7 linked regions of the Macaca mulatta genome follow. The protein of the gene in region 1 interacts with the protein of each later gene in a pairwise test. Links are inferred from orthologs where the notes say so. Each region holds a gene or a part of one and is shown in the gene's direction. Other genes may lie near its edges.

The links.
Region 2: the proteins of EGFR (region 1) and PPP5C interact in a protein complementation assay, tested with the Homo sapiens proteins (2 studies listed by BioGRID and IntAct). The link is inferred for Macaca mulatta from reciprocal best matches to the Homo sapiens genes EGFR and PPP5C.
Region 3: the proteins of EGFR (region 1) and MAST1 interact in binary tests that used the Homo sapiens proteins (3 or more experiments, as listed by UniProt). The link is inferred for Macaca mulatta from reciprocal best matches to the Homo sapiens genes EGFR and MAST1.
Region 4: the proteins of EGFR (region 1) and PRKCA interact in binary tests that used the Homo sapiens proteins (3 or more experiments, as listed by UniProt). The link is inferred for Macaca mulatta from reciprocal best matches to the Homo sapiens genes EGFR and PRKCA.
Region 5: the proteins of EGFR (region 1) and HDAC6 interact in binary tests that used the Homo sapiens proteins (3 or more experiments, as listed by UniProt). The link is inferred for Macaca mulatta from reciprocal best matches to the Homo sapiens genes EGFR and HDAC6.
Region 6: the proteins of EGFR (region 1) and CDC25C interact in a protein complementation assay, tested with the Homo sapiens proteins (3 studies listed by BioGRID and IntAct, with this or other methods). The link is inferred for Macaca mulatta from reciprocal best matches to the Homo sapiens genes EGFR and CDC25C.
Region 7: the proteins of EGFR (region 1) and TNFRSF1A interact in a protein complementation assay, tested with the Homo sapiens proteins (3 studies listed by BioGRID and IntAct, with this or other methods). The link is inferred for Macaca mulatta from reciprocal best matches to the Homo sapiens genes EGFR and TNFRSF1A.

Annotation. Positions count from the first base shown.
Region 1 is NC_133408.1:73,468,115-73,472,128, reverse strand, and holds the start of EGFR (epidermal growth factor receptor), read left to right. Parts: upstream 1-1,214; 5' UTR 1,215-1,475; coding exon 1,476-1,563; intron 1,564-1,702; exon of another isoform or gene 1,703-1,758; intron 1,759-2,114; exon of another isoform or gene 2,115-2,254; intron 2,255-4,014. UniProt on the Homo sapiens protein: Receptor tyrosine kinase binding ligands of the EGF family and activating several signaling cascades to convert extracellular cues into appropriate cellular responses.
Region 2 is NC_133424.1:58,844,825-58,848,896, forward strand, and holds the start of PPP5C (serine/threonine-protein phosphatase 5), read left to right. Parts: upstream 1-1,272; 5' UTR 1,273-1,319; coding exon 1,320-1,440; intron 1,441-4,072. UniProt on the Homo sapiens protein: Serine/threonine-protein phosphatase that dephosphorylates a myriad of proteins involved in different signaling pathways including the kinases CSNK1E, ASK1/MAP3K5, PRKDC and RAF1, the nuclear receptors NR3C1, PPARG, ESR1 and ESR2, SMAD proteins and TAU/MAPT.
Region 3 is NC_133424.1:13,395,912-13,399,411, forward strand, and holds part of MAST1 (microtubule-associated serine/threonine-protein kinase 1), read left to right. Parts: intron 1-1,217; coding exon of another isoform or gene 1,218-1,249; 5' UTR 1,250-1,510; coding exon 1,511-1,593; intron 1,594-3,376; coding exon 3,377-3,465; intron 3,466-3,500. UniProt on the Homo sapiens protein: Microtubule-associated protein essential for correct brain development. Appears to link the dystrophin/utrophin network with microtubule filaments via the syntrophins. Phosphorylation of DMD or UTRN may modulate their affinities for associated proteins.
Region 4 is NC_133421.1:76,041,815-76,046,039, forward strand, and holds the start of PRKCA (protein kinase C alpha type), read left to right. Parts: upstream 1-1,425; 5' UTR 1,426-1,472; coding exon 1,473-1,645; intron 1,646-4,225. UniProt on the Homo sapiens protein: Calcium-activated, phospholipid- and diacylglycerol (DAG)-dependent serine/threonine-protein kinase that is involved in positive and negative regulation of cell proliferation, apoptosis, differentiation, migration and adhesion, tumorigenesis, cardiac hypertrophy, angiogenesis, platelet function and inflammation, by directly phosphorylating targets such as RAF1, BCL2, CSPG4, TNNT2/CTNT, or activating signaling cascade involving MAPK1/3 (ERK1/2) and RAP1GAP.
Region 5 is NC_133426.1:48,878,877-48,882,996, forward strand, and holds the start of HDAC6 (protein deacetylase HDAC6), read left to right. Parts: upstream 1-1,320; 5' UTR 1,321-1,440; exon of another isoform or gene 1,441-1,456; coding exon of another isoform or gene 1,457-1,468; exon of another isoform or gene 1,469-1,849; intron 1,850-1,956; coding exon of another isoform or gene 1,957-1,986; coding exon 1,987-2,079; intron 2,080-2,164; coding exon 2,165-2,293; intron 2,294-2,422; coding exon 2,423-2,511; intron 2,512-4,120.
Region 6 is NC_133411.1:147,195,034-147,199,061, reverse strand, and holds the start of CDC25C (M-phase inducer phosphatase 3), read left to right. Parts: upstream 1-1,228; 5' UTR 1,229-1,602; intron 1,603-1,974; exon of another isoform or gene 1,975-1,978; 5' UTR 1,979-2,012; coding exon 2,013-2,206; intron 2,207-3,518; coding exon 3,519-3,613; intron 3,614-4,028. UniProt on the Homo sapiens protein: Functions as a dosage-dependent inducer in mitotic control. Tyrosine protein phosphatase required for progression of the cell cycle. When phosphorylated, highly effective in activating G2 cells into prophase.
Region 7 is NC_133416.1:7,274,592-7,278,836, reverse strand, and holds the start of TNFRSF1A (tumor necrosis factor receptor superfamily member 1A), read left to right. Parts: upstream 1-1,445; 5' UTR 1,446-1,673; coding exon 1,674-1,712; intron 1,713-4,245.

The DNA of each region.
Region 1 (4,014 bases):
GCGCTTGCCGTGGTGAAAAACCCACCGTTCAGGCTGCAGGGCGTGAAACCCAGGCACAAACACTTCGCTGGATGCGGAGGAAAGATGCAAGGTTGCTCCCCTTCAGAGACAGCAAAGGGCAGATCTGTAGCTCTACTTACTTCAGGATTATGATTTTTGACAGAGCCGGGAGATCAGGGTTGTTGAACCAGGCCTGAAGGTCCTAGTGAATCTCGTGAAGAGAGGAGGGGTCTGACTGTAACATGGACCTAGAGGACATTCTTACTGCAGGAGAAGCAACAGTGGGGATGGGGTGGACTTGCCAAAGGAATGTAGCTCAAGTTCCTGCAGCCTAAAGCAGCTCAGTTTCTTTCGGCCAAACTTTCGCGAACTTCCCTGGCATTTCTCCTGCGGGAGCTACCGGTGCAGTGGGACACTTAGCCTCTCTAAAAGCATCTCCACAGCTGTTTGTGTCAAGCCTTTATTCCAAGAGCCTCACTTTTGCGAAGTAACGTGCTTCACACATTGGCTTCAAAGTACCCACGGCCGGTTGCAGTAAACATTGAGGAGGCCTGTCTCTGCGCCCAAAGTTGGGTGCTCTCATTTCAGACGATTTCTAGGGTGCTTCACGGGATCTGAAGGACCCTCGGACTTTAGAGCACCACCTCGGACGCCTGGCACCCCTGCCGCGCGGGCACAGCGACCTCCTCAGCTGCCAGGCCAGCCTCTGATCCCCGCGAGGGTCCCTGGGTGCTGCAGGGGAGGTGGGGACCAGAATAAAGGAGCAGTTTCCCCGTCGGTGCCATTATTCGACGCTGGCTCTAGGGCTCGGCCAGTCTGTCTAAAGCTGGTAGAAGTTTGTTCTGTAAAACAAAAGAAGGGAAAGGGGGAAGGGGACCCTGGCACAGATTTGGCTCGACCTCGACATAGGCTGGGCCTGCAAGTCTGCGGGGACCCAGTCCAGAGGGGCAGTGCTGTGAACGCCCCTCACGGAAATTAACTCCTCAGGGCACCCGCTCCCCTCCCGCGCGCCACCCCCTTCCCGCGGGAGACCGGGTCCCGCGGGGGTCACCGCTGTCCACCGCCTCCGGCGGCCGCTGGCCTTGGGTCCCCGCGGCTGGTTCTCCTCCCTCCTCCTCTCATTCTCCTCCTCCTCTGCTCCTCCCGATCCCTCCTCCGCCGCCTGGTCCCTCCTCCTCCCGCCCTGCCTCCCCGCGCCCCGGCCCGCGCGAGCTAGACGTCCGGGCAGCCCCCGGCGCAGCGCGGCCGCAGCAGCCTCCGCCCCCGGCACGGTGTGCGCGCCCGCCGCGGCCAAAGCGGCCGGAGTCCCGAGCTAGCCCCGGCGGCCGCCGCCGCCCAGACCGGACGACAGGCCACCTCGTCGGCGTCCGCCCGAGTCCCCGCCTCGCCGCTAACGCCACAACCACCGCGCACGGCCGCCTGACTCCGTCCACTATTGATCCGGAGAGCCGGAGCTTGCTCTTCGGGGAGCAGCTATGCGACCCTCCGGGACGGCCGGGGCCGCGCTCCTGGCGCTGCTGGCTGCGCTCTGCCCCGCGAGTCGGGCTCTGGAGGAAAAGAAAGGTAAGGGCGTGTCTCGCCGGCTCCCGCGCTGCCCCCGGATCGCGCCCCGGACCCCGCAGCCAGCCCAGCCGCGCACCGGCGCACCGGCTCGGCGCCCGCGCCCCCGCCCGTCCTTTCCTGTTTCCTTGAGATCAGCTGCGCCGCCGGCCGGGACCGCGGGAGGAACGGGACGTTTCGTTCTTGGGCCAGGAGAGTCTGGGGCGGGCGGGGGAGGAGACGCGTGGGGCACTGGGCTGCGGGCCGGCGGGGAAACGGCCGCCTGGACCTCCGGCGCCCCGAACCGCTCCCAACTTTCCACCCTCACTTTCCCCGCCCCGCTGCGCGGAATCGGCGTCAGTGGGCGAAAGCCCCGTGCGGGTGGGTGCCTGGGGCCGGGGTCCCGCACGTGCGCCCCGCGCTGTCTTCCCAGGGCGCGGCGGGGTCGCGGCGCGCACCCGAGGGACTGGCGCTGCCCACCCGCCGAGGCTGCGCTGTTTAGGGAAGCTGAGGAAGGACCCCGAAAATAAAGCCTCCCTTCGGACCCCGCGGGACAGGCGGCTTCCTGAGCGAACCTCCCTGCCTCCGCGCTCCGCGCAGGTCTCAAACTGAAGCCGGAGCCGGCCAGCCTGACCCCGGCCCCTCTCCAGGTCCCCGCGATCCTCGTTCCCAGGTGTGGAGTCGCAGCCTCAACCTGGGAGCTGGGAGAAGTCCGCCACCACCTGCGGCGCCTGGGAAGGGGTGGTGCTGGCGGCGGTTAACTTCCTCGTTGGCAAAAGGCAGGTGGGGTCCGACCCGCCCCTTGGGCGCAGACCCCGGCCGCTCGCCTCACCCGGCGCGCCCTCGTCTTGCCGGTCCAGGTATGCCCCCCACCTCCTGGGGACCCGAGCTCCCTCCCGGGCGCCGGCGCAGAAAGGCCCGGGCTCTCGTTCGGTGGCCGCCTCGCGGGGACGTCCGGGTCTGCCCCACCTGCAGCCCTTCGGTCGCGCCTGGGCTTCGCGGTGGAGGGGGACGCGGCTGTCCGGCCACTGCTGGGGGGATCGCGGCCTCTAGTGCGGAAGCCCAGGAAGCAGAGCTCATCCTGGCCAGCACCACGGTGTTTCAAAATGGGGCTCACAGCAAAGTTTTCTCCTCAAAACCCGGAGAGTTTCTTTCTTGGATGTTTCTTTTTGCTGTCTGAAGAATTTGACATTGAGCCAACCAAAATATTAAACCTGTCTTACACACACACACACACACACACACACACACACACACACACACCGGATTGATGTCCCTGGTTCAAGTGTGCCAAGTGTCCAGACAGAACATGAGCGAGTCTGGCTTCGTGACTACTGACCATAAACCCACTTGACACGGGAAACATGCCTCGGAAGGTTTAATTGCACAATTCCAACCTTGAGCTGCGCGGGTTCCAAGAGCCAGGCCCGTACTTGCTGTTGATGTCACTGGCATGGGGAGTTGGGGTTTGGTGCCCAGCGCGGTCGTTGGGGGAGGGGCAAGACATAGAACAGTGGTTCCCAGACCTTGCTGCACGTTAGAATTACCTGGGATTAAAAAAAAAAAAAATCAAAACAAAAACCAGTGTCTGAATCCCGCCCCCAGACATTCTGATTTAATTGGCATGGGGCAAGACCTGGACATGGGATTTTTTTTTTAATGCTTTTCATGTGATCTGTTGGGGAGCCAGGTTTGGGGATCACCGGACGGAAGAAGGATTGTTAAAGTCTCCGGAGAGATTACTTGCCAATGCAAAGAGCTCTTTGAGGACATCTGGAATTTTAACAATGTTGCCAAATATAGGAAAGAGGGAAAAGGTGGGGTGTGGTTCCAATAATAAAAGATTCCTCTTTTCATTGAAGGAACTGGTGGAAAGGTTTCTTCTCTGCTGAGCTTGCAGGGCCCCTCCTGCCTGCTTGGGGGCTGACTGCGGGTCCTGTTAGTCAGGTGTCAGCCCTGTCTCTGCTGAAGAGACTCTTCTCTTTATTTTAAATTAAACCCTCAGAGCACCTCCAAAGCATCACTTTTCTCCCTCCAGTGGGGTTCTCATTCTTTGATGTTACTTGCTTGAACACCACTGTTAGTGATTGGAGATTTGTTCCTGAGAAAAATATAAATACCACTTAATTTGCCTGTTTATCCCGTATTCACTCAAAACAGAAACTCCTGAAGACAGAGAGAGTAGGTGAACAGGCGCTATTCTGTTACAGTAACATAAAAGACTGAATTTTCAGGGGCAAATTATTAAAGTAGGAGATGAGCTCTTTTAACAGAAATTTGTTTGAGACCTGTGTCTATCAAATTCAGTCGATTTTATTCAAGATGCACTTTGTTTAGTAAGGGTTTTGTTTGGTTCTGGGACATGCTAACTTCTGGACTTGCTGCTCTTAGACGTAATGACTGCCAGACACCGTTTCATGCGTCCTAATCCCCACATTAAGCATAAGAGGTGTACACTCTCCTCCTATGGGGGAA
Region 2 (4,072 bases), on another chromosome or scaffold:
ACAGGACTTAGTGCTACCTGAGGGCTTAGAAAGGACAGACTGGAAGGGTGTACGGCAGATGGGGGTTGGGGAAGGGGTGGAATCTGGAGATTAGACTATTCAGCCTGAGGTTAGACTATTCAGGGTCTCCTAATCAGGAGTTTGGGTTTTCTCTTAAGGGTGCTGGGGCCATGGAAGGCTGGGAGTGAGGGTGTGCCATGGTTTTATTATGTCTTAGAAAGATCCCTCGGCCAGGTGCAGTGGCTCACTCTTGTAATCCCAGCACTTTGAGAGGCCGAGGTGGGCAGATAGCTTGAAGTCGGCAGTGAGGCCAGCCTGGCCAACGTGGTGAAACCCCGTTTCTATTAAAATACAAAAATTAACCGGGCGTGGTGGCAGGCACCTGTAATCCCAGCTACTCGGGAGGCTGAGGCAGGAGAATCGCTTGAACCCCGGGAGGCAGAGGTTGCAGTGCGCCTAGATTGCGCCACTGCACTCCAGCCTGGTCGACAGAGGGAGACTCCCTCTCAAAACAAAACAAAATAAAACCAAACCAAACCTCTAGCTGCCATGTGAAGGGTAAATGAGGGAGGCAGAGTGCATGCAATCAACGCTGTGATCTCAGACAAGAGAATCTGTAAAAAGGCAAACAGGAGAGTTTATTTGAAGATTCAGGATTTGGGAAGCTGAACACAGGAAGAAAGGGGATGGTGCAACACACTTCTGAGCCTTGCTCAGGACTTGAAATCCAGAGTGCCTTCATTTAAAAACTCAGAAACACCCTCAGGGTTGGACCTTTTTTGGCTTGAGAAGCCACCCATTTTTCAGAGATGGGTAACTGAGGCCCTAGAGAGGAAGGGAAGATTTGTTCAAGGTCACACAGGTAGCTGACAATAGGGCTTGACGCCCGGGTCCGGCTCCGCGTAGGGCATGGCGCTGCCTTGCAAAGCAGCCACACCCGCCAGCGACATTCACAACCCACCCCCCAACCCTAGAGGAGAGCAGGGAAATCCCACTTTAAGAACCGAGAAACTTTTTACAGCCTTGGAACACGGTAACTTTGGGAGCAGAGGCCACACCAGCTCTGTTTCCCCGCGCGCCCCTTCTCTCATTCCCTATTGGCTCTCTCTACCAGGGGTACCGTCCGGGGACCCTCTGGTCACCTTGTCCTCCGCGCGCTCTATGGCGAGAGGGACCTGCGCAGGCGCGTGAAGGGCCCCTTCAGGGCCCGCGCTTTACGACACTTGTGCGGCAGCGGCGGCGGCCACCCGGCGCTCCTTCGCGACGGTTCGGCCGGGTGCCGCTGGCGGCCGTTGCCAGGGTAGGGGTCGCTTTGCGGCATGGCGATGGCGGAGGGCGAGCGGACTGAGTGTGCTGAGCCCCCCCGGGACGAGCACCCGGCTGATGGCGCTCTGAAGCGGGCAGAGGAGCTCAAGACTCAGGCCAATGACTACTTCAAAGGTGCGCCCGCCTAGCAGGGAGGGTGGACAGCGGCTCAGGCCGAGGGTGCCGGGCCCGCGCGGAACCATGGCAACGCGGAGCTGCAGTCTGGGCGCGGGGCAGGCACTACCAAGTGACTGGGCGTGGGGAGGCCCAGGATGGCGCTACCAAGGGGCGACATAGGGGGCTTCGGAGAGTGATACCTAGGAGTGGCGTGCGGAGCGGGTGCTACTCAGTGGAGAGACTGAGGAGGGCGTCACCAATTGTGGGGCGAGAGGGGGACTGGAATGAGGGCGCTACCAAACGTGAGGCCTGTAGAGGGCGCTACCAGGCAGTGACATGTGGTGGGGGAGTGAGTGATGGCGCTACCAAATGGGGAGTCCTGGGGTGGGTGCCGCCAAGTGGGGAGTAGAGGAGGGACAGTCCCAATAGAGGCGGCAATCGTGGGGGTGGGGAATGGATCATTAGATGGGGGGAACAAGGAAGTAGAAGATTTGGGCTGACCGAGGAAAAGGAATGTGATGGTGGGGGCCTTGGGAGTAGGGGTGGGAATCCCCAAGAATAGTATCACTTAGAATATTGAGAAAGAGTCAAGTGTGGGGCACCCATTCATTCATTAATTCAACAAATATTTATTGAGTACCTGTTATGTGCCAAGGACTGTGCTTAACTCTAGGGATATAGCAGTGAAGGAGAGAGATGTGGTCCTGTCCTTAGCTTGTAATTTTGCAGGTGAACCAGACGTGAAAAAAAAAAAAAACATGTAAATAAGTAAAATACTTAAATTGTGATGAGTGCTTTGAAAGCAAACCAGCAGCGTGATGAAGTAGAGAATAAGGGTTGGAGGCTACTTTAGATAGGGTAGTGGGGGAAGGCCTTACTGAGCAGGAAGCATTTAAGCTGAAACTCACAGAGGAAGAACTGGAGAGGAGTGTTCCAGGGAGTTAAGGCAGCCTGTGCAAAGGCCCTGGGGTGGGGAATGAAAGGACACTGGCATGGCTGGGGCTTTTGCTAGTTAGCGGGAGACCAATAGCAAGATGAGATTAGGACAGAGGGCAGATCATGCAGGGTCTCCCCGAGTCATTGCAAAGAGCAGTTTGGAATTTTTTTTTTTTTTGAGACGGAGTTTCACTCGTGTTGCCCAGGCCAGAGTGCAATGGCGCAATCTCAGCTCACTGCAACGTCCGCCTCCCTGGTTCAAGTGATTCTCCTGCGTCAGCCTCCCGAGTGGCTGGGATTATAGATGCGCATGCACACCACCATGCCCACCTAATTTTTGTATTTTTAGTGGAGACGGGGTTTCGCTGTGTTGGCCAGGCTGGTCTCGAAACCCTGACCACAGGTGATCCGCCCACCTCAGCCTCTCAAAGTGGTGGGATTACAGGCGTGAGCCACCACTCCTGGCCCTACAGGAGGACACACTGAGTAAGTAAATGGGACAGTCTGGACTGGAGAAGAATTTGGGTGTGATCAAACTATGGTTGGGAATGGATGAGATAATCTAGTAAGAGGGTCTAGAGAGGGGACTTAGGACAGATCCCGAGTGGAAGAGGGGGAGGCTAAGGAGGACCGCTTAGTGAGGTGGAAAGGAAGCCAGGAAAGGTGTCGGGAAGGCGGAGAGAAGAGAGCGCTTATAGAACAAGGAGCTGGTGCCCTGAGTCCGATGCTGCCAAGGCGAGCACTGGCCATTGGCTTTGGCTCCGTGGATGCTGATGGTGATGTTGACAGGAGCAGTTGTTGGGGAATGACGGGGCTGGTGCAGCCAAGAGGGCGCTGAAGAGTGAATGGGAAGGGAGGGAGTGGAGAGAGCAAATGTTAAGTGTTAGGAGTATTGGTTCTGAAGAAGAGTGGAGAAATGGGGGAGGGTGGTAAGAAGTGAACGTGCGCAGGAGTTCAAGAGCAGCCTGGCCAACATGGTGAACGTCGTCTCTACTAAAAAATTAGTCGGGTGTGGTGGCACACACCTGTAGTCCCAGCTACTGGGGAGGCTGAGGCAGGAGAATCGCTTGAACCTGGGAGGCAGAGGCTGCAGTGAACCAAGATCACGTCACTGCATTCTAGACCGGGCAACAGACAGAAAAAAAAAAAAAAAACAACATGCAGTGTCAGGGGAAGATGGATTTTTTGTAAGGATGGAAGAGAGTAGAGTCCAGTAGAGATGGAGAATTGATTCTGCATGTGAGAGGGGAGACTTGCAGCAGCAAAACCCTGGAGAAGGTGGAGGTGGAAAGGATCTGGACCCCTGGAAAAGAGTTGGCCTCCAGCAGGAGCAGAAGCAAAGTATGGAGAAGTTTGATCTGGTGGGAGCCATGAGAGGGAGGTAGGACCAGTGAGAGATGAGGCCAGAGGTAGAACCTTGGAAGTCAGATTGGGGAATGTGGGTGTCATCCTGAGGGTGGTCGATGCCATGGGATGTTTCAAGAGTGGGGTGCCGTGGTTCAGTTACCATTCAGAAAAGATCCCTGGCTGCCATGCAGAGACTGGACTCCAGGGTAAGACAGGAAGGAGGCTAGATTAGTGGACAGGTGAGGGGTGGTGATCGCCAACCAGGCTGGAGGGACAGAAATAGATTCAAGAAGTGTTTCAGAGAGGAAGTGAGAGTGGCTGCCTGGAGAGAGGGTAGACGGTACTCCAGGCAGAAAAAAAAAAAAAA
Region 3 (3,500 bases), on another chromosome or scaffold:
CAAATGCAGACACATAAACTTAATACCCACTAATAATTATTATTATTGTCATTATAAAAAATGACTACGTGGCCATCACCTGAATTTCCATTTTTATTTTTTTATTTTTTAAATTTTTTATGTTTTTGTTTTTGTTTTTATTTTTGTTTTAATTGAGACCGTGTTTCACTCCAGCAGTGGTGTAATCACAGTTCACTATAATCTCGACCTCCTGAGCTCAAGTGATTCTCCCACCTTAGCCTCCCTGGTTCCCATTTTAAATCTCAGTTGTGAGTCACTCTACTTACCTACCCCCCACCCCCTACCCCAACTCTGTGACTCTAGCTGGGAGTCAGATCGATCTGTTGAGGTGTAGATGAGTCATTCATTCTTTCAACCTTTCATTCATTCAACCTTTCATTCATTCATTGAGCATGCCAAGCTTATTCCCGCCTCCAGGCCTTTGCCCTTGCAGTTCCCTCCACCTGGAATTCTCTCTCCACAGATCCTCCCATGGCTGGCTCTTATCTTTCAGCCACCAGCTTAAAAGCCACCTCCACAGAGCAGCCCTCTCTGACAATGTGTCTCCATCCCAGCCATTGTCCATCATATCACCCTGTTTAATTTATTCATAAGACAAATTACTGTCTAAAATGATTTTGTTCACTTCTACACTAATCTTGTTTAGTGTCCCCTTTACCCTACAAATACTAGTCCCAAAAGGCCAGAAACTTTTTTTTCTCCTTGAGACAGAGAGTCTTGCTGTGTTGCCCAGGCTGGTGTTGCCCTGGACTCAAGCGATTCTCCTGCCTCAACCTCCCAAGTAGCTGGGACCAGAGGTGCACACCACCACACCGGGCTTGTAACTTATTCACTGCTGTGTCCCTAGTGCCTAGGATAGGGTCAGCATACAGTAGTGCTCAAGACATATTTTTCAAATAAAGATTCCTATTTCATTTGCACAAACACACACTGAGATGCCAACTCACTTGCCTTTATACGGGACCCCGCCTGTGTACTTGGGTCTCTGTTGGTCTCTGAGGGTCAGGAGAGGAATCACCCGGGGATCCTCTCCCCCAAGAAACTTGGCCCGCAGTGCATGGCCAAGGGTGAAAGTGACAATGCTGAAGAGGGGCCTGTCTTACCCTGCTTCTGCTCCTCCAGGGAGCTGAGCATGCTTGTGGGCAGCAACGGTAGGTCCACGCTGACCTTCATCGTTTTGCTTCTTTGCCTTCCAGAAGGATTTGCCCCTGCCCCGGAAAAGCAGCAGGTGAGCCTTGGGGAGAGACGTGGCGGGGGCTGGCCGCCCCTTCTCCCGCCGGGGTGGGGGCGCCAGGCGCGTGCGCGGGCGGGGCCTGGCTCGCCCGCACACAGCAGCGCCCCCTCCCGGCCAGCTGCAGCCGCAGGGCCCTCCCCTTCCCTGCCCTCCCCTGCCCGCTGCGGCGGCTCCAGCCTCCGCCCCGCGCGCTTGCTCCCCGCGCCGCCGCCGCCGCCGCTGCCGCACCTGCCACCATGTCGCCGCCGCCGGGTCATGTCTGACTCTCTCTGGACCGCGCTTTCCAATTTCTCGATGCCCTCCTTCCCCGGCGGCAGTATGTTCCGCCGCACCAAGAGGTAGACCCCCGATCCCCTAGACACTGTCCCAGCCCTCCCCGCAAAAGCCTCCGCTCCGGGTGCTGCTGCAGGGCGGGGCCCGGGATGCTGCGCCCGGTACAGCTGCGCCAGAGGTGCCCGAGCTGCGCCTTCCCGCCAGGGATGGGGTTGAATGGGGGTGGTGTGGGCCGAGTCTGGGGGGATTGCACGCTGGAGAGGACGGCCGCGGGGGGAGGGGGCTGCGCCACTGGGGGTTTGTGGCGCCTTTGTCTGCTGGAGCTGCGGGCTCCAACAGCCTGGTGGGGGTAGAGGAAGAAGGGGAGGCTGGGGGGCTTGGCACCCTCAGAACAATAGCCGCAGCCTGGCCTCCCCCCACCCCCATGCCGCGTGCTCCTGGACGCGCTAATATGCTCAGTCACTGCGGCTGTGGGTGAGGGGACGGACGGAGGGGCTTGGGGCTCCCTCTTCGGGAGCTGGGATGCTGAGGGGTAGAAAAAAGGGGGGGTTTATCATAACACAACCCCCCCAGAACACAGTCTTACACTGAAAATAGTGACACACAGCGTCACACAGGACATGATGTCACACACACATACACACACAACAGCCCTAGTGGCCCAGATACACTGGGAGGTGCCACACATACCTAGCCTTGCAGCTGCCACAGGTTAGAACCATGCACAGACACACAGGGGCACCACGTCGTGTACACCTAGTAAGATGTCACTTGCATGGTGATCCACACACACAATTATGTCATCCAAGATGCACACATGTGTGGCAATATCCCATCCATGCATCCAACAATGTCACAACACATGATGTCATATCTAGGAATCTCACATACTGTGTCACACTAACATCAGCATAAACAGATGTAGGGATCTTACAGAGAGAGAACCACGCAAAATCACACGTTATCACATGCGATACTCACCTAGAGAATGTCATACGTGGTGATATGTTTGGGCATGGCCAGTGTCACAAGATGTTAAATTCACACAATAGATGCTACATACACATGGACACATATGGTGAATGTCACACCCAGACGGAAGGACAGTATCGGACATAGACTCAGAATGCCACACAAAGACATAGATACATGTAGGGGGGATCATGCATCCTGGCCAGGCATGGCGGCAGGCGCCTGTAGTCCCAGCTACTCAGGAGGGTGAAGGGGGAGGATAGCTTGAGCCCAGGAGTTTGAGGCTGCAGTGAGCCACTGCACACTGAACTCCATCCTGGGCGACAGAGCGAGACATTGACTTAAAAGAAAAAAAAAAAAAATGCAGCCTCCCTGTGTTACAGCACACATTGTTATGGACAAGTGGCATTTCACACTGTGTCACATAGACACACAAATGCTCAAATTGTGTCACACAAGATAAACACACGTTGTGTCACACATATCACACTAGAATGCGTTCGGGGTCACACATTGTGGAATTCATACAGTGGATGCCACATGTGGATACCTACAGTGAATGTCCCGCATAGACCGAAACACACTATCACCAATAGTGTCACCTAGACACAGTGACTATCACACCATGACAGACACTGCCGTACACATAATCAACACTGGGAGTTTCTCACACACATGTCACATGCAAATCCCCTGCCATACACAGTCCTGCCGAAGCCTCCACCACCTTTTCCTTCGAGAAACCCTCCCAGGGAGCCTCCAAACACACATAGATGGGAGATAGGCGGGGATCTGAGACGGGAGGTCAGCTGGTGGGGCACAAGAACTCACTGGGCTGCGGCCCGGCCCGGCCCCCCTGCCTTGCCTTCCCCGCAGCTGCCGCACCAGTAACCGGAAAAGCCTCATCCTGACCAGCACTTCGCCCACGCTGCCGAGACCCCACTCCCCGCTGCCAGGTCACCTAGGTGAGACCAGTGGCAGAGACTTGGTGGGTGCGGAG
Region 4 (4,225 bases), on another chromosome or scaffold:
ATGCTGAGAAATGATTATTTCCCTTAAGTATTTTAGCGGCCTCCAGGCAGACCTGATAAATATTCAGCGAGTGATTAGCTGGTGCATCCCCACCTGCGTCCTTTGCATAGCCATGTCCGCTACTCTTTCACAGGCAGTTTTACTTGGTAATTTACAAATGTACCGGCTGCACTCTGCACCTGACAGTATTGCAGTAATTAGCTTGGGATGCAAAATGATTTCTAAATTAAGGTCCTAGACTTGCAAAATCAAGAAAGCCTGATAATCAACATCGTCCCTCTGATGGCCAGTGAATAACGGGATAAATACCTAAGACAAGTCCTTTAACCATCCCACGTGGTGATAAATGCCCGACGTACAAATTAAAAGTCTCTACGACACGCAGGTGAAATACGGTATAGGTCAAGAAGAGAAGGTAGGGGAAAGGGTCAATGCTTAATTAGTTAAAAATCGCTGTCTTCCTCCTGTAGGAAGGTCTAGAGCCTGTGTCCTTTAGGGCACACGTGATGAAAGCGACATTTTGGCCAGGTGAAACCTCAAGCTGGTACAGGCTGCTAACACACGGGCGTCGTGCCCCGGAGACATCGGGGGTCCTGAAGATGGGGAAGGGACTCCCTGTTGCGTGTGCTCAGGGGTTAGCGGGTGAGCACCGGGCGGGAGGCTCCGGGGCAGGGGCTGCGCGTGGAGCCTACTCCGGAACGCGGGCTCCTCTCGGCCCGGCACGGACGGCGCAGGACTCCGAGCCGGTCGATAAGACAGAGAGAGAGCGGGAGTGGGAGGAGGAAGACGGGGAGAGGAGGAGGCCGGACGGCAGGAGCGGAAGAAGAGGAGGAGAACTGAGGCGGAGGAGGGCGAGAGGGTGGAGAGCCGGGAGCAGGAAGGGAGGAAAGAAAAAGGCGGCGGAGGAGCGCGCACCCGCCACTCCCGCCCTCCTCCTCCTCCGCATCCCCACTCGGGCTGGCCCTCCCCGGGCCGCCCGCCGCCGCCGCCTCTCCCTGTTCAGTCTTCCCAGCACCGCCAGGCGCCCTCTGCCTCCTCCGCACTCGGCGCGGCCCGCTCGGCGCCGCCGCCGCCCCCCCCCGCGCGCTCCTGGCCCGCGCGCCCCCGCCGTTCTCGTCCGCGCGGCCTCGCGCTCGGGGCATGCGCGGTGGGCGGCGCCGCTCCGGGCCGCCTCTGCCGCCGCGAGTAGGAAGCGCGAGCGCCGGGCGCCGGGCTGTCAGTGAGCCTGGGGCCAGCGGGCGAGCCAGCGGCTCAGGCTCCGGCTCCGGCTCCGGCTCCCGCTCCCGCTCTGCGCCGCACCGGCCTGACTCTCCCCGGTCCCCGCCGCGCCCCCTCGCCGCGACCTCGGCCACCGGCCCGCGCCCCCCGCCCGGGGTCGCCCCGAGCCCGCACCTCTCCGCCGCCGCCCCCGCCCACCCGGCCCTCCGCGGCCGCCGCTCCCCGGCGGAGGCAAGAGGTGGTTGGGGGGGACCATGGCTGACGTTTTCCCGGCCAACGACTCCACGGCGTCTCAGGACGTGGCCAACCGCTTCGCCCGCAAAGGGGCGCTGAGGCAGAAGAACGTGCACGAGGTGAAGGACCACAAATTCATCGCGCGCTTCTTCAAGCAGCCCACCTTCTGCAGCCACTGCACCGACTTCATCTGGTAGGTGCCGGGCCGGGCACCCCTGCCCCGCTCCTCCCCGCCCCTGGGTCCCGGTCCCCGGCGCGCCGGCAAGTCCGCCCCGGGGCTGGCTCACTCCGAGAACTTGGAACCGGCGGGAGTCCGAACTCTCGCCCGGAGTGACACGCGCTCCCGGCCCTGACACCGGCGGGCAGGACTCCCGGGACGTCGCCGCCCCGCCACACACACCCCCTGGCGCCGGAGGGAGGCTGGCCCCGTGCGGTGGCGGCGGGGATCTTTCCCCGGGCCGGGCCCGTCACCTCCCCGGGGGCGTCCACCCGCACGCACCCAGCGGAGCGGCCGCTTGCCGGGGTGGGAGCCCAGTGGACAGGGGAGGAGGAGAGGCCCGAAGGAGCGAAGGTTCCCGGAGAAACGCGTCCCGGAGTAACGGGGGAGCGGCGGCGATTGCGCTGCGCGGTCCAAGTTGCTGGCGAGCCAGGCTGGGCGCGTTCGGGGGGGTGTGTTTGTGCTTCCCATCGGGCTGGACCGCGCTGGAATCTTGGGCCCCTGCCTACTGTAGGCTGCATCTACTGGGCACGGACAGACTTTGACTTTTCTGAGTGAGCAGAGAGAGAGAGAACAAACTGTTGAAAGCTTGCAGTGGGGGAGGGAGAGTTCGAGCAGGCAAATGGCACAAGGGCAGAGGGACTCATTTAAAATAGACCCTGTCGGCCAGGCGCGGTGGCTCACGCCTGTGATCCCAGCACTTTGGGAGGCCGAGGCAGGCGGATCACCTGAAGTCAGGTGTTCGAGACCAGCCTGGCCAACATGGTGAAATCCCGTACTACTAAAAGTACAAAATTTGCGGGCGTGGTGGCAGACGCCTGTAATTCCAGCTACTCGGGAGGCTGAGACAGGAGACTCGCTTGAACCCGGGAGGCGGAGGCTGCAGTGAGCCGAGATCGGGCCACTGCACTCCAGCCTGGTCGAGACAGAGCGAGACTCCGTCTCAAAAAAAATTAAAATAGACCCTGTCAACACGAGATTAGACCTGTAACCCTGTTGATGAGGACAGAGGCCTTATTTAAGAAAAATAACATAAGGGCCAGAGGTGTCAGAGTTCAGGTAATCGCCAATGAATTCAGGCATTCTTAACTCGGAGGATCCTTGGGGGCTTATGGAGAATCGATACATAGAAGGGCTTCAGGGGTCTCTGAACCCTGCAAAACTGGGTGAAATTGTGTTTGTGAATCTTTTTGCTGGTGAGAGAATTACAGCTTTCATCTGATTCTCAAAAGTGTGTGACCCTTCTTCCCAGCTCCCCGTCACCACACAGAAGTTTAGAAAGCTGGAACTAAAGGAGCTCTAGGTCCTCTAGTTAGAGCAGCAGTAGTTTGGTTTTTCTCTTAGATTGCCGGATGCCCTGACTCTTCTACCTCTTCTTTGTCGTGTAGCAATTTCCTGACAAGACAGAGCTATGGCTAGGGCTTCTTAGCTCCCTCCCCTTCTAGGCCAGGGGGAGCTACCCAGGGTGGCAGTCATGGAGTGAATCCTGCCACCAGCCAGCTGTGTGGCACAGGTATCTTGGGCCACTAGAGTGAACATAATATGGATGGATCTGTCTGAATCCATCACACCTGGGGAAAAACATCCCAAAGGTCAGGTCCCATGATCGTGGTGCTGATAAGGTGTTTAATTTTTCCTTTCCTTTTTAGACATCTGCTCCCAAGTACACTTTTACGAAAAGCACAGCCACCTCTATGAGTGATTTCCACTGTCTAGTCAGCATATGAAGCGATTGTGCTCAAAGGAGTAGGTAATCGTAGATAAGGCTATTTAAAATACAATTTCGGAGCATCAGGGCAAAGAGAATATTGCATTTGGTTAAGAGGAGGTGGTCAACTGTGAGAGTCCATTAAAAGGGAACAGACTGCTGGTGACTTTTGCAGGAAGTGGGAGAGTTAGAAAGGGACTTGCAGCCGACCGAGGCTAGCTAGTGTCTTTCCACTGTCAGTTGCCCTTGAAGGATCAGCCCTTGGTGAGCTGAAGAGGCGCTCAGGTCACTAGCAGTGTTGTGAAGTGGAAGATAAAGGCCCCCCTGAGTATCCCTGCAGCTCTCTGCATTTAATTGTAAACCAACCAATTGGAAGTCCCAGGAAACCATCTACAGGGATTGTCTTTTTCAGTTTGCTTTCATTGTTGTTTCTACGGGGTCCTTGATTTGCAAGTTTATTTCAATATTAAATCACTGATATTTTTAAGTGAAATGTTTAGAGTTCATTATGGTTTTTGGTGAGGGGGGATGACTCTTAAGTTAATTTTAAAAGTATGTGAAATACTTTGTGCATTAAACATTCTATGTGAAGCAAGAGGTTATGACGCTCAGCCTTCTGAAGAAATGTTAATGCAGTTAATCCTAGTAGAACAATACCTGCAATTGAATGTCCATGTCAGGGTTCTCTGCTTACAGAGTAAATTCTCTAAAGTCATTTACAAGAACAAAATACCCTCCGTACGTGCTTTGACTGCTGTCGGTTCTCAGTCGAAATTAGATCATGGTAATCTCAAATGCAAACAATAGGAATGATATTTTCTAGCATCTGGTTCCTTAAGCCAAAATTA
Region 5 (4,120 bases), on another chromosome or scaffold:
CTCTCCGGTCCCAGCTTATAGCCTGGTAGGAAATGGTGGAGAATGAGAGAGGGAGATTAGAGGACAAACCGGCCTCCTGCAGAGCTGACATTCAGACACGGAGTGGGAGTTGCGGGGGAGACAGGGTGCCCAGGGACAGCTCCCCAGACTCACACACACTTTCTATTACTGCTTGGGAGCAGTGGTTACCCGTTGGAGGGGGCAGATAGGGAGAGCTGCTGCCCATGAGAACTCCCCTCCTCAAGTCCATTCTGGCCCTGGGCACTATTATTATCACAACTTTCCAGATGAGGAAACGGAGCACAGAGCTGTTCAGTAACTTGCCCAAGGTCACATGGTTAAGTCCCGTAACCTCAGTTTCCTTATCTGCAAAGCAGTCTTAATAATGGGAACTACCTCATAGAATTGTGGTTTACAACGATGCCTGTCACATAATACTTGCTATCATTACCATTCCCTGCCCCCACTAAGACTCCTTCCACCCAGAATATTGCGGCAGAATATTAATAGCTAACATTCGGCGAGCGCTTCCTGTGTACCACCGTAGTGAATATTAACTTGGAAAATCCTCACAACATTTAGCATCGTCACCACGCCCATTTTGGCCGCCGCCAGCCAAAATCCAGTGGCAACCTCGCTCTCGACCCAGCCACAACCAGCCCGCCCGCTCTACGTCATCAGGGCGTGTCGCGCGGGAAGTCGCGGGGAAAAGAGAAGACGCCCCTTCCTAATTCCCTCGCTTCCTTGCTTCCTTTCGCGACACCGCCGGCCCGAAGGGCTCTTAAGTGACTGGACAGGGACGGAGGGGCGGCGGCTATGGCATCCAGGACGACAGCGACGGTAGCCGAGGCACGGGAAAACTTGCGCCTCAGCCCCGTTGGGAACTGCCGGCGCCTGCGTTTTACGCAAGCGCAACACAGCTGGCGTAGCACGCCGACGCACCGCCCCGACGCCCGTGAGCTCGCGAGAGGTGTGGCTCAGCACAGCTGGCGTAGCACGCTGGCGCGCTCCCCCGCCGCGCTCCCCCGCCGCCTGTGAGCTCGCGAGAGGTGTGGCTCGCGCGAGGGGCGCGGCCTTGAGGCACGCTCCCCTCTGGAGGCGGGATCTGGGCGGGCAGTCGAGAGACCAGGCCCAATGGAAAAGAAAGGCCAGGGCGCTCGCGTCCCCACGGGTCGCCAGAAACTTGGCGGAGCGAGCCAAGGGCGGAGTTTGAGAAAGGGGCTGCGTCCAGTGAGTGGAGCGGCGAGTACAGCGCGTCGACGGCGGAGGCGGGAAGGGGGCGGAGGCCGACCGAAGGCGGCTAGGGACTGGCTGAAGGGGGTTAGCGAAACGTTAGCGGTCGGGTCTGGGCAGGGGGTGGAGCTGGTTGAAGGAACGGGGCAGTCCCCTGAGGAGCGGGGCTGGTTGAAACGCTAGGGGCGGGATCTGGCGGAGTGGAAGGTACCGGTCCGGCCCGATGAGGGGTGGAGTTAAGTGAATCGTTAAGGGTGGAGCCGGGGCCGGGGCCGGGGCCGGGGCCGGCTGAGTGAGAGGGTGGGTGATTATCCCGGGAGGTAGGCCGAAAGGGCAGATTCGTGAAGGAATGGGGTCTGGGCCGGGCTTAGAGGGTCTGGGAATGGGGTTTGGGAGAGTGGAAGGGGCGGTGATTGGTTGGAAAGGGCAGGCCCTAAAACGGACTGAGTGAGCCAGGGGGCTCATTGCTCAGTGAAAGGGCAAGACTAGGGAAAGAGAATCCTGTAAAAGGGGTGGAGTCTAGCGGACCGGGCGGGGCCAGGTAGAATGGCCACCTGAGTGGAGGGAGAAGGCCTGAGAGAGGCGGAGTTTGGAAGGCTGTGGAGAATCAGATCGTGTAAGGAATGGAATCTAATAGAGGGGGCGGAGCCTGGAAAAGGGCAGAGAGGTGGGGTCCTCAGGGCACACTAGCCCCCTCACATACCCACGCTCCCACCTCTCCAGAACCGCGGCAGGGGTCAAGCCTCCTCAACTATGACCTCAACCGGCCAGGATTCTACCACAACCAGGCAGCGAAGAAGTAGGCAGAACCCCCAATCTCCCCCTCAGGACTCCAGTGTCACTTCGGTGAGGCCCTAGACCCGCCCTCATGAGGGGGAGAGGGAGCAAGTTGGTCATTCCCTGGACTCTGACCCTTCTCTCTGATTCACAGAAGCGAAACATTAAAAAGGGAGCCGTTCCCCGCTCCATCCCCAATCTAGCGGAGGTAAAGAAGAAAGGCAAAATGAAGAAGCTCGGCCAAGCAATGGAAGAAGACCTAATCGCGGGACTGCAAGGGATGGTGAGCAGGGCCTGGCTGCAGTTTAGACTCCTATGACAATCAAAACCCAAAGGTTCCCAACCCTGGACAGTTCCCTCTGACTCAGGGCCTGAAATGGATCTGTATGTCCTTTTTTTTTTTCCTCTGCAGGATCTGAACCTTGAGGCTGAAGCACTGGCTGGCACTGGCTTGGTGTTGGATGAGCAGTTAAATGAATTCCATTGCCTCTGGGATGACAGGTGAGGCTGGGTCCTCCAGGCTGTCTCCAAAACACAAAAATACACACATTTAGAGCCCATTAGCAAGAATAAATCCTTTCTTACCCCAGCCTGGATACTGGAAGCAGATGATTTGGAGAGGTAGGGCTCACACTTGAAAGGGTTCTTCTGTGTAGCTAACAAACATTTATTGCCTATTGTGTGCCAAGAGTTGGTGATACAAATGTACCAAACAATAGACAGGGTCCTTTCTCTAGGAGCGGATTGATGAGTAGGAGGGCAGATCATTAAACAGCCAAGAGCAGTATGATGTGTTTAATGAAAACAGACTAAAGACCAGGGGATTCAAGGGTGTATAAAAGGATCCTAAACTAGTATCCAGGCTTCCCAGAAGGCTTTATAGAGGAAGAGACGTTTGTACTGAAACAGAAGGATGAAACCTCCCATTTGCTTTACTTTTCAAAAAGAATCAGCAAATCTTTTTGACTATATGTTCTGACCTCTCCTCACCACCTCCACTGCCACCATCATCATCACTCACCTAGACTTGCAGAAGCCTCCTCCGTGGTCCCCTGCTTCCAGCCTCACCTCTATTGTCTGTTCATGCAGCAACCTAAAAAAATATGTATGAGATGATGTCTTTGTTAAAATACTTTAAGGAGGCCGGGCACAGTGGCTCACGCCTATAATGCCAGCACTTTGGGGGACCAAGGCAGGTGGATCACTTGAGGTCAGGAGTTCGAGACCGGTCTGACCAACGCAGTGAAACACCGTCTCTACTAAAAATACAAAAATTAGCCGGGCGTGGTGGCACGCACCTGTAATCCTAGCTCCTTGGGAGGCTGAGGCAGGAGAATCACTTGAACCTGGGAGGTGGAGGTTGCAGTGAGCCGAGATTGTGCCATTGTACCCCAGCCTGGGCAACAAGAGCAAAACTCTGTCTCAAAAAAAAAAAAAAAATGCTTTAAGGGCAAACTGTTGCCCTCAAGGTAAAGTCCAAATTCTTCATCGTGGCCTCGAAGGTTCCACATGATCTGGCTCCACATCACTTTGTGACCTCATCAGCCAATCCTCCTCACCCACACTAGTCCCCTTGTTCTTCCAACATGCCAGGCACCCTCTTACCTCTGGTCTGTACCCTGACCAACCCCTTTCCCAGAGATTCTTTTCGGCCTTCTCTTCCAGCTACCTTTCACATCCCAATGAGACTTTCTCAGAGAAGGTTTTGCCTGACCAAACCCTACCCCAGTACCTGATCTTATTTTCCTAGCCCATGACATTGTTTGCTAATTGTCATACTTGTGTGTTTACCAATTAATATCTATATCCCTTATCCCAACCTAAGAGTAACTTACTATGGGAAAAGACTTCTTTTATGGAATACCTATTTACCATCTATTGAGGAGCTAGGAATGCAGCAGTAAACAAAACAAACAAAAGCCCGTGCCTTCAGGGAAAAGGGGGAAGACAGACAATAAATAAACGAAAAGTAAATGATGCACTGTGGTAGAAAAGGGCAGTGTTATGGAGAAGCAGTAAAGGGAGGATAGTAGGAGAAAGTACAGTGGAGGAGACTTCAATTTTCAATACGCTGGTCAGGGCAGGCCTCACTGACATTCGAGCAGGGATC
Region 6 (4,028 bases), on another chromosome or scaffold:
TTTGAACATTTTTATTATGGAAATTTTCAAATATACACTGAAGTAAGGAGTATGGGGTAATACCTTACAGCTCAAAGTATGTTCCTATGACCAGCTACCTCACCATCAGCTGGGGGCTTGTTAGACGGGCAGAATCTCCGGCCGCAACCACAACCCAGACCTCCCAAATCAGAATCTGCATTTAACAGGTCCTCAGGTGGTTAGTGTGCAAATTAAACGTTGACATGCACAGATATGATGGACCTTCCTGCCCCCTATCACTCAACACTCAGGGTCAATCTTGTATCATCAATACCCTCCCCCAGCACAGGATTATTTAAAAGCAAATCCCTAACATTAGGAATGTCTTTTTGTTTCACTCTAATGCCCAGGCTGGAGTGCAGTGGCGCAACCACCGTCTCCCGGGTTCCAGCAATTAATCATGCCTCAGCCTCCCAAGTAGCTGGGATTACAGGTGTGTGCCACCACACCCAGCTAATTTTTGTATTTTTAGTAGAGACGGGGGTTTCATCATGTTGGCCAGGCTGGTTTTGAATCCCTGACCTCATGTAATCCGCCCACCTCGGCCTCCCAAAGTGCTGGGATTACGGGCGTGAGCCACCGCGCCCGGCCAGTAATTTCTAAATATCACCTCGTCAATGTTCAAATTTCCATGAATAACCAATCTTTGAGGTCCTCTGGATTGTGATAAGGATTATACCAAGATAATTTAATTCCTCCACTTTCCCTGCAATGGAATTTCTTTTTACCCACGTAAACTAGCGTCTCTGAGATGCCGCACACTAAAAGAAACGCCAAACAAAGAAAGCTCTTGGAAGGGGCTAATGCCTCTCAGCATAAACACACACACCTGTCTCCCCCCAATACCTGCCACACCAGCAGCAAACGCTCCATGTCCCGTGGAAGGCCAGCAAAACTCAGAAGAAAACGTCCGCGAAAACGGCACGAGAAAGAAGCAAGGAAAATGAAACGCTTACAACACCCTCCACCCAAAAGAATCTCTCCTAGTATTATCCTAGCGAATGGTCATCACTAGTAAGGTGCGATTTAAATCTCCCGGGGTTCGTGGGGCCGAGGGAAAGAAGAAAACAGAAAGGGTGTGGCGATTGGTGAGAGGGAGAGCCAATGATGCGGCAGGCTCCCCGTGAGGCGGAGCTTACCCCGCAGCCGGCCTAACGCTGGTGGGCCAATCACTATCCTGCTCTGGCTATGGGGCGGGGCAAGTCTTACCACTTCCAGAGCAAGCACACGCCGGGTAATGTGCCAGCCCAACGATAGGCCGTGAGGGTCTGGGCGCGCGCACGGAGATTGGCTGACGCAGCTTAGAGGCGAGCGGGGATAGGTTACTGGGCGAGCGGAAGGTTTGAATGGTCAACGCTTGCGGCTGTTGATACTCTGGCTCGCAGGCCATAACTTTGGCCTCCTACGCGGGGAAGACGCTGAGTCCGACGTTGGCCTACCCAGTCGGGAGGCAGAGTTGCAGTCTGGTTAACTGCCTCCTTTCCCCCAGATTTTCTTTCATTCTGCTCGAGTCTTCGCCTGTGTCCGATCCCTATCCACTTTCCCTCCTCTTGTAGGCAAGCCTCAGACTCCAGGCTTGAGGTAAGTCCGCAGCCGTCTCCGCCACGGAATCACGGAGACCCCATTGTCCTCTTAGGGTCCAGTCGGCCCACACAAACAGAGATTGGGAGGGCCGAATGGGCACTGTCGCGAGTTACGACCTGGGTTCTTTCTGGTCAGGAGTCTCGAGCTGTGTGGCGTGGAACAAGTCAAAATCCTCTCTTCATTCCATCTTTAAGGTCCTAAGGTTGCCTCTCGTCGGTGAATTCAGGTTCTAACCTGGAGCCAGGCTGTGAATCACCCTTCGGGAATGCCCCTCTTCCAATGCTGATCCGCCTGGCTGGAAAGGGTGGAGGAGTTTGGGAAAGCTGAGGGAACTGAGAGGTACCGATAGAGATGACGTTTTCCTCCTAGCTAGGTTTTGTTTTTCTCCTGGTGAGAATTCGAAGACCATGTCTACGGAACTCTTCTCATCCACAAGAGAGGAAGGAAGCTCTGGCTCAGGACCAAGTTTTAGGTCTAATCAAAGGAAAATGTTAAACCTGCTCCTGGAGAGAGACACTTCCTTTACTGTCTGTCCAGATGTCCCTAGCACTCCAGTGGGCAAATTTCTTGGTGATTCTACAAACCTAAGCATTTTGTCTGGGTAAATATACTTTTATTTTTACACTTTGTTGCCTTTGCTATTTCCAAACAGTTGGGTTTGTTTGTTGGTTTGTTTTCAGTTATCCTGGCTCAAAGGTCAGGGTTTAAGTCTCAGCTCTGCCCTTGACTGTGTAACCCTTTTGAGTTCTTTTCTGTGACAAGAAATTATAATATCAGCCAGGCGAGTTGGCTCATACCTGTATTCTCCACACTTTGGGAGGCTAAGGAGGGCGGATCGCCTGAGTCCAGGAGTTTAAGACCAGCCTGGGCAACATGGCAAGACCCCGTCTCTACAAGAAATATTAAAAATTAGCTGAGCGTGGTGATGCCTATAGTCCCAGCTACTCAGGAGGCTGAGGTGGGAGGATTGCTTGAGCCCAGGAGCTGGAGGCTGCAGTTAGCCAAGATCGCCTCACTGCACTTCAGCTTGGGAAACAGAGTGAGACTCTATCTCAAAAAGAAAAGACAAGAAAGAAATAATAATCTCTTCCTATCTTACTAGGATCTTGTGAGAATCAAATGATGTGATATCTGGCAAAAGTCTTTGAAAACTGCTGCATTATGAGTCGGTCACTTTATTAGTATTAATATTAACGTTATTGCAGTTGTACTTTGAATTCTGATCATACCATGTCTCAACTAGCAAACGAAGAGAAGTAGTACCTGAGAAAAACTAGGGACTCCGGGGAGAAATCAAGCCTGTGTTCATGGTGCTCAGGACAGGGAATGTGGAGTCAAGATCCTCCTTGGCCAATAAACTCTGGGCCTCAAAAAAAAAAAATTATCTGTTTCAATATGTTGGTAAGGAGAAAATGAGGTACAGATTATGGTAGTGGGAGACTTTTCTCAGCCCAGTCTGAGATATTTCCAAAAAGCAATTAGATTTATTTGGACAGTGTTCAGATAATCTGATAGTCATTAAGGGGTGTTTCAGATGAAGAGGATTGGCCGGGCGCTGTGGCTCACACCTGTAATCCCAGCACTTTGGGAGGCCGAGGTGGGCGGATCACCTGAGGTTAGGAGTTCAAGACCAGCCTGGCTGACATGGTGAAGCTCCATCTCTACTACAAATAGCTGGGCGTGGTGGCAGGCGCCTGTGATCCCAGCTATTTGGGAGGCTGAGGCAGGAGAATCGCTTGAACCCGGGAGGCGGAGGTTGCAGTGAGCCAAGATCGTGCCACTGTACTCGAGCCGGGGAGACAGAGCAAGACTCTATTGCAAAAAAAAAAAAAAAGAAGAGGATGACATGATCTTTGACTTTTAAGGATATAACAATCTAATGGAAATTTCGATGTACCATTATGTCTCAACAGAGGAACCCCAAAACGTTGCCTCGATCTTTCGAATCTTAGCAGTGGGGAGATAACTGCCACTCAGCTTACCACTTCTGCAGACCTTGATGAAACTGGTAGGGAGAAGGGATATAAAGGCCTTGATTGAAGGGAAGAATAACTTTTAAGGGAGAAAACAGGGAAGTAGGATAGAGACAGAAGGTGGTGAAAGTATAAAAAGAGTCTGCCTAGAGAGATGGCATTTTGTGGGTAACTAGAGAATTTTTGAGAATGATTAAGCCAATGGGAAGAGAAAGATAATAACACTAATAGGAGCTACTTTGCATTTGAAAATGTTAGACAAGTAGGAACATATTTTGTTGACTGATTAACGGTGGGAATGAAAGTATAGTCATTAGGATATGAGAAGTTTTGTGCCTTAGTCTAATCTCAGCAGAGGCAAAGAAACCAGCGTAAAGAAATATGTTGGCCAGGTGCAGTGGCTCATGTCTGTAATCCTGGCACTTTGGGAGGCCAAGGTGGGCAGATCAC
Region 7 (4,245 bases), on another chromosome or scaffold:
CAGGATGTGGGGTCTGACTCAGTAACAGATAAAGTGGCAGCGTGTGTCTCATAGCCAAAACAGCCCTTGGATTGGGAGTCAGGAGTCTGGGGTTCTCGGTTGGCTCTGCCTCCTGGCACACTGGGTTTCTGGACCTCAGTTTTCTCCTCTATAAAACCGGGGGTTGGCCGGGCATGGTGGCTCACACCTGTAATCCTAGATCTTTGGGAGGCTGAGGTGGGCAGATCGCTTGGACCCAGGAGTTCAAGACCAGCCTGTGTAACATGGCAAGACCCTGTCTCTACAAAAAGTACAAAAATTACCCGGGCGTGGTGATATGCACCTATAGTCCCAGCTACTTGGGAGGCTGAGGTGGGAGAATTACTTGAGCCTGGGAGGTCGAGGCTGCAGTGTGCTGTGATGGTACCACTGCACTCCAGCTTGGGAAACAGAGCGGACCCTCGAAACAAACACAAAAATGAAAAACAAGCAAATGGAGAAATAAAAAAAAACCTAGGGGGTTGTAGTAGATGATCTCTAAGGTTAGTTATAATTGAGGTATTGGAATATTTAGGAAAGAGCACTGGGAATATACTAGGAACACTTGATGGAGATATCTTTATTTCCACGGCAGCTTAGTGGATATGTCTCATTGATGCTCATGGTATCACTCTCCCCATGTAGGTGGGCAGGCATTGTTACCCCTATTTAATAAATGAGGAACCAACAGAGGCTTAGGAGAGGAGTTGCCTGATGTCCCACGATTGGTGGCAGAGCCAGGATCAACAGTGGGGCAGGGTAGGGGGACCTGGCCAGGCAGCGACTGGATGAGACCTGGGGTGAGAAGTGGCAGGGACCCAGTCAGGGCAGAAAATGAGGGTTAGGACTTACTTTGAGGTTTGGATTGGATCGGTAAATTCCCAAGAAAGAGGGAGACTAGGAGGCTAGTGAAGAATTGTGGAGTAAAGGGGAGGATTACTAAGGGACATGGAGTATCTATCATGTGTCAGACGCTTATCTATGTCTCTCGTGTCTGAACAAATCCTTGCAGGAACCCCAGGAGACAGGTTATCTCCACTCTGCAAATTGGAAAACGGACCCAGAGAGGTTCAGTTATGTGTCCGAGACCACCCAGCTAAGAAGCTAAGCATTCTGAACTGGAACCCAGAGAATTTGACTCCCAAACTCTGGGTCTTTTCATTGCTGTGTTCCATTTAGGAAAGGCTAGGGATGCGGGGAAGCGGCTTATTGCCCCTTGGTGTTTGGTTGGGAGTGGTCGGATTGGTGGGTTGGGGGCGCAAGGCAGCCAGATCTGAGACTCTTGCGCTTGTGACTGGACTACAAAGAGTTAAAGAACCTTGGGCCTCCTCCTCCCGCCTCCTCTGGCCTCCTCCTCCAGCTCTTCCTGTCCCGCTGTTGCAACACCGCCTCACTCTTCCCCTCCCACCTCCTCTCTCCTCCTCTCTGCTTTAATTTTCTCAGAATTCTCTGGACTCAGGCTCCAGTTCTGGCCTTTGGGGTTCAAGATCACTGGAACCAGGCCGTGGTCTCTATGCCCGAGTCTCAACCCTCAACTGTCACCCCAAGACACTTGGGACGTCCTGGACAGACCGAGTCCCGGGAAGCCGCCAGCGCTGCCGCTGCCACACTGTCCTGAGCCCAAATGGGGGAGTGAGAGGCCATAGCTGTCTGGCATGGGCCTCTCCACCGTGCCTGACCTACTGCTGCCACTGGTGAGACCAGGGACAAAGGGAAGAGTGGGCTGGTGGGCGAGGCACCGCCCGGCCGGCGTGGGCCCTCTCCGGGAGGGGGCCGAGCCTCTCCTGCCCGGGCCTGGTCCTGGCGCCGGCCTCAGGCCTGCAGGTCCTAACGTCAGCCACTGCCAGTGTGGGGTTCCCCATGCATCCACCGCTTGGAGTAGGGGCTGCGCTGAGGCAGGGGAATGGGAGAAGTTTGAGAGGGAGAGAGTAAAAGGAAGCCCTGAGCCCTGACAGCCGTGGAAGTTTGCGAGGGCCAAGGGAATGTGGGCAGGTGATAGGCCCAGGGTGGGGCAGATTTGGCGGGGAAAGGAAAGGAGTGGGAGTAGGAAGGTTAGTGCTCTGGGAGTCCAGACGGTTCTGAATTCTGTCCCTGCAGTCAGCTGGCTGGCCTGCAGTGTGCTGGGCCGTGGGGAGGCAAGGCTGCCTGTGGAACCTGGCAGAGCACACCCTGTAGGGCAGGAGTTTGGCGGCTGGTGAAGTGGGGGAGTGAGTTGAGGAGTGGGGATGGGGTGGTGTGGTGGGTTTGGGATGCCTGTGGCGGGAGGTATTTGAGAATGGGCTGGGACACTGGATGGGGCAAGGCAACCCAGTGGACAGCGTCCCCAGTACCCTGGCCAAGCCCCGGTCTCTCACCTGGGGACATTCTTTACCCTTCTGCCTGCTGCTAGGCGGGTGGCCTCTGTGGGACTGAGCCTGCCCAGGGAGCTAGCCCTACCCCCACCTGGTCAGTGTCGCTGGGCCTGTCCTCCAGCTTCCCCTCCCCGCTGCTTTCCACAGAGCTAAACAACAATCCCTTGGTTTCTTATTCTACAGTTCAGTTTGGGGAAGTTGGTAGAAAGTTGTTTTCGTCACTGGAAAATGTCCCTTTCTCTGGCTTCAGCCTTGTTTCAATGTATCCTTGATCGTCCTCCACGTCTTGGCCCAGGAATCATCCCGTTCAGATGCCCTGGGCCCATCTAGTTGGGCAGATTTTCCCTGTCCTGTTGTGGCCCTGCCCTGCCCGGCCTCTGAAGGCTGCGCCTACCTCCCCTCTCTTTAGTGCCTTATACTTTTCCTCTCCCACCATTCCTTTCTTTCCAACAATCTCCCCAGACTCTCCTCAGACTTCTCAGAGCCTCTTTTTTTGAAATCTTTTCTCGCTAGTCCTCCTTCCCCTCCTCTCTGCTCCGCTCCGGTCCCACATTTCCAGCCTCAGGTCCCCAAACAGCACGTCCCTTGTCAGGGTCTCACTCTTCTCCTTCTCCCTCCTCCTTAGTCCCACCCCCTCTTCCCTTCCTCCCGCTGTCCTTCCCCCCACGGTCTCCCCACCAGCCAGCTGCCCTGACATCCTGCTTCTGTTTTCTGTTTGGGGGCAGCCCTGGCTCCCTCACACACCTGCTGCACGAACAGGAGCAGCTTCTATAACCTAACCTTCCATGCCTTTGTTTCTTTATCTCCACAACGGGGGTCATAGTCATGACCTCATACTGTTGTTTTGAAGATTGAATAGACTGATACATGTTAAGTGTTCCTTTGATTTGTTAAGTGTGCACTCTGGGCTAGACACTGTGATAGGTGCTGGGATTACAGCAGAGAACAAAATCCCTGCCCATAGCTTTGACAGTCCATCAGGGAAACAGGTTGTAGCAAATAGAAAGCACTCAATAAAGTGTTTATATTGCTGTGATTAGTAGTAATTACTGGGTGGTTACCCGTGTTTGGAAAATAGAGGGTAAATGTAGCCTGAACAGGTAAAGGGAAGTGCCTGGGTCCTGGGGTGCTTCAGCCCAGGTGGGATTACGTCTCCTAAGAGACAGAAGCCTGGCCTGGAGCTGGGGGAAAGGGGAAACAAAGGGAATGCAACATCCTTCTGAATGTCTCACCATTCAATGGGCAATGCAGAGCGTACTGTGTGGGGGGTGGACGTAGGGGCGGGGGGGGCGGTGAGGTGAGGTAGGGGAGTAGGGAAGAATGATACAGGAGAAATGGTGGCAAAGCAAACAGGATTTTGCTGCTCTCAAAGAGCTTACAGCCTAGGAACCAAGATGGCTTACAGTGAAAAATGATGTCAGAGCAATCCGGAGGAAAATATCCACAAATGCATGGTGATGTGGTGTCCTGGAGCACCAATGGGAGGAGAAGGAACTGGGGAAGGAGACGAGCCTTAGTCCACTGCCTTGCCTTGCTTAGCCGGTCTCAGCTCCTGTGCTCAGCTCCAGAAAATTCAGGAGCTTCCCCACGCTGCTTCAGTGTCCTTCGCCGTGCAACTGCAGCATTCCCTGTGTAGAGGTCAGTGCCAACAACTGACTGTCTTTGACTCAAGCGAGAGTTCTTGAGAGCACGAGCTGTGTATTATCCACCTCAGCATCCCTAGCACCCATACAGGACCTGTCACATAAACTGTACTCCTTAGCTATTTGCTGAATGAATTAAGGAACAAGAGATGGGTCAGATGGGATGGGGGAGGGAAAGCCTCATAGAAAAGTGGATGTGGAGCTGACATCTGAAGTCACTGCCTGTCAGGGTA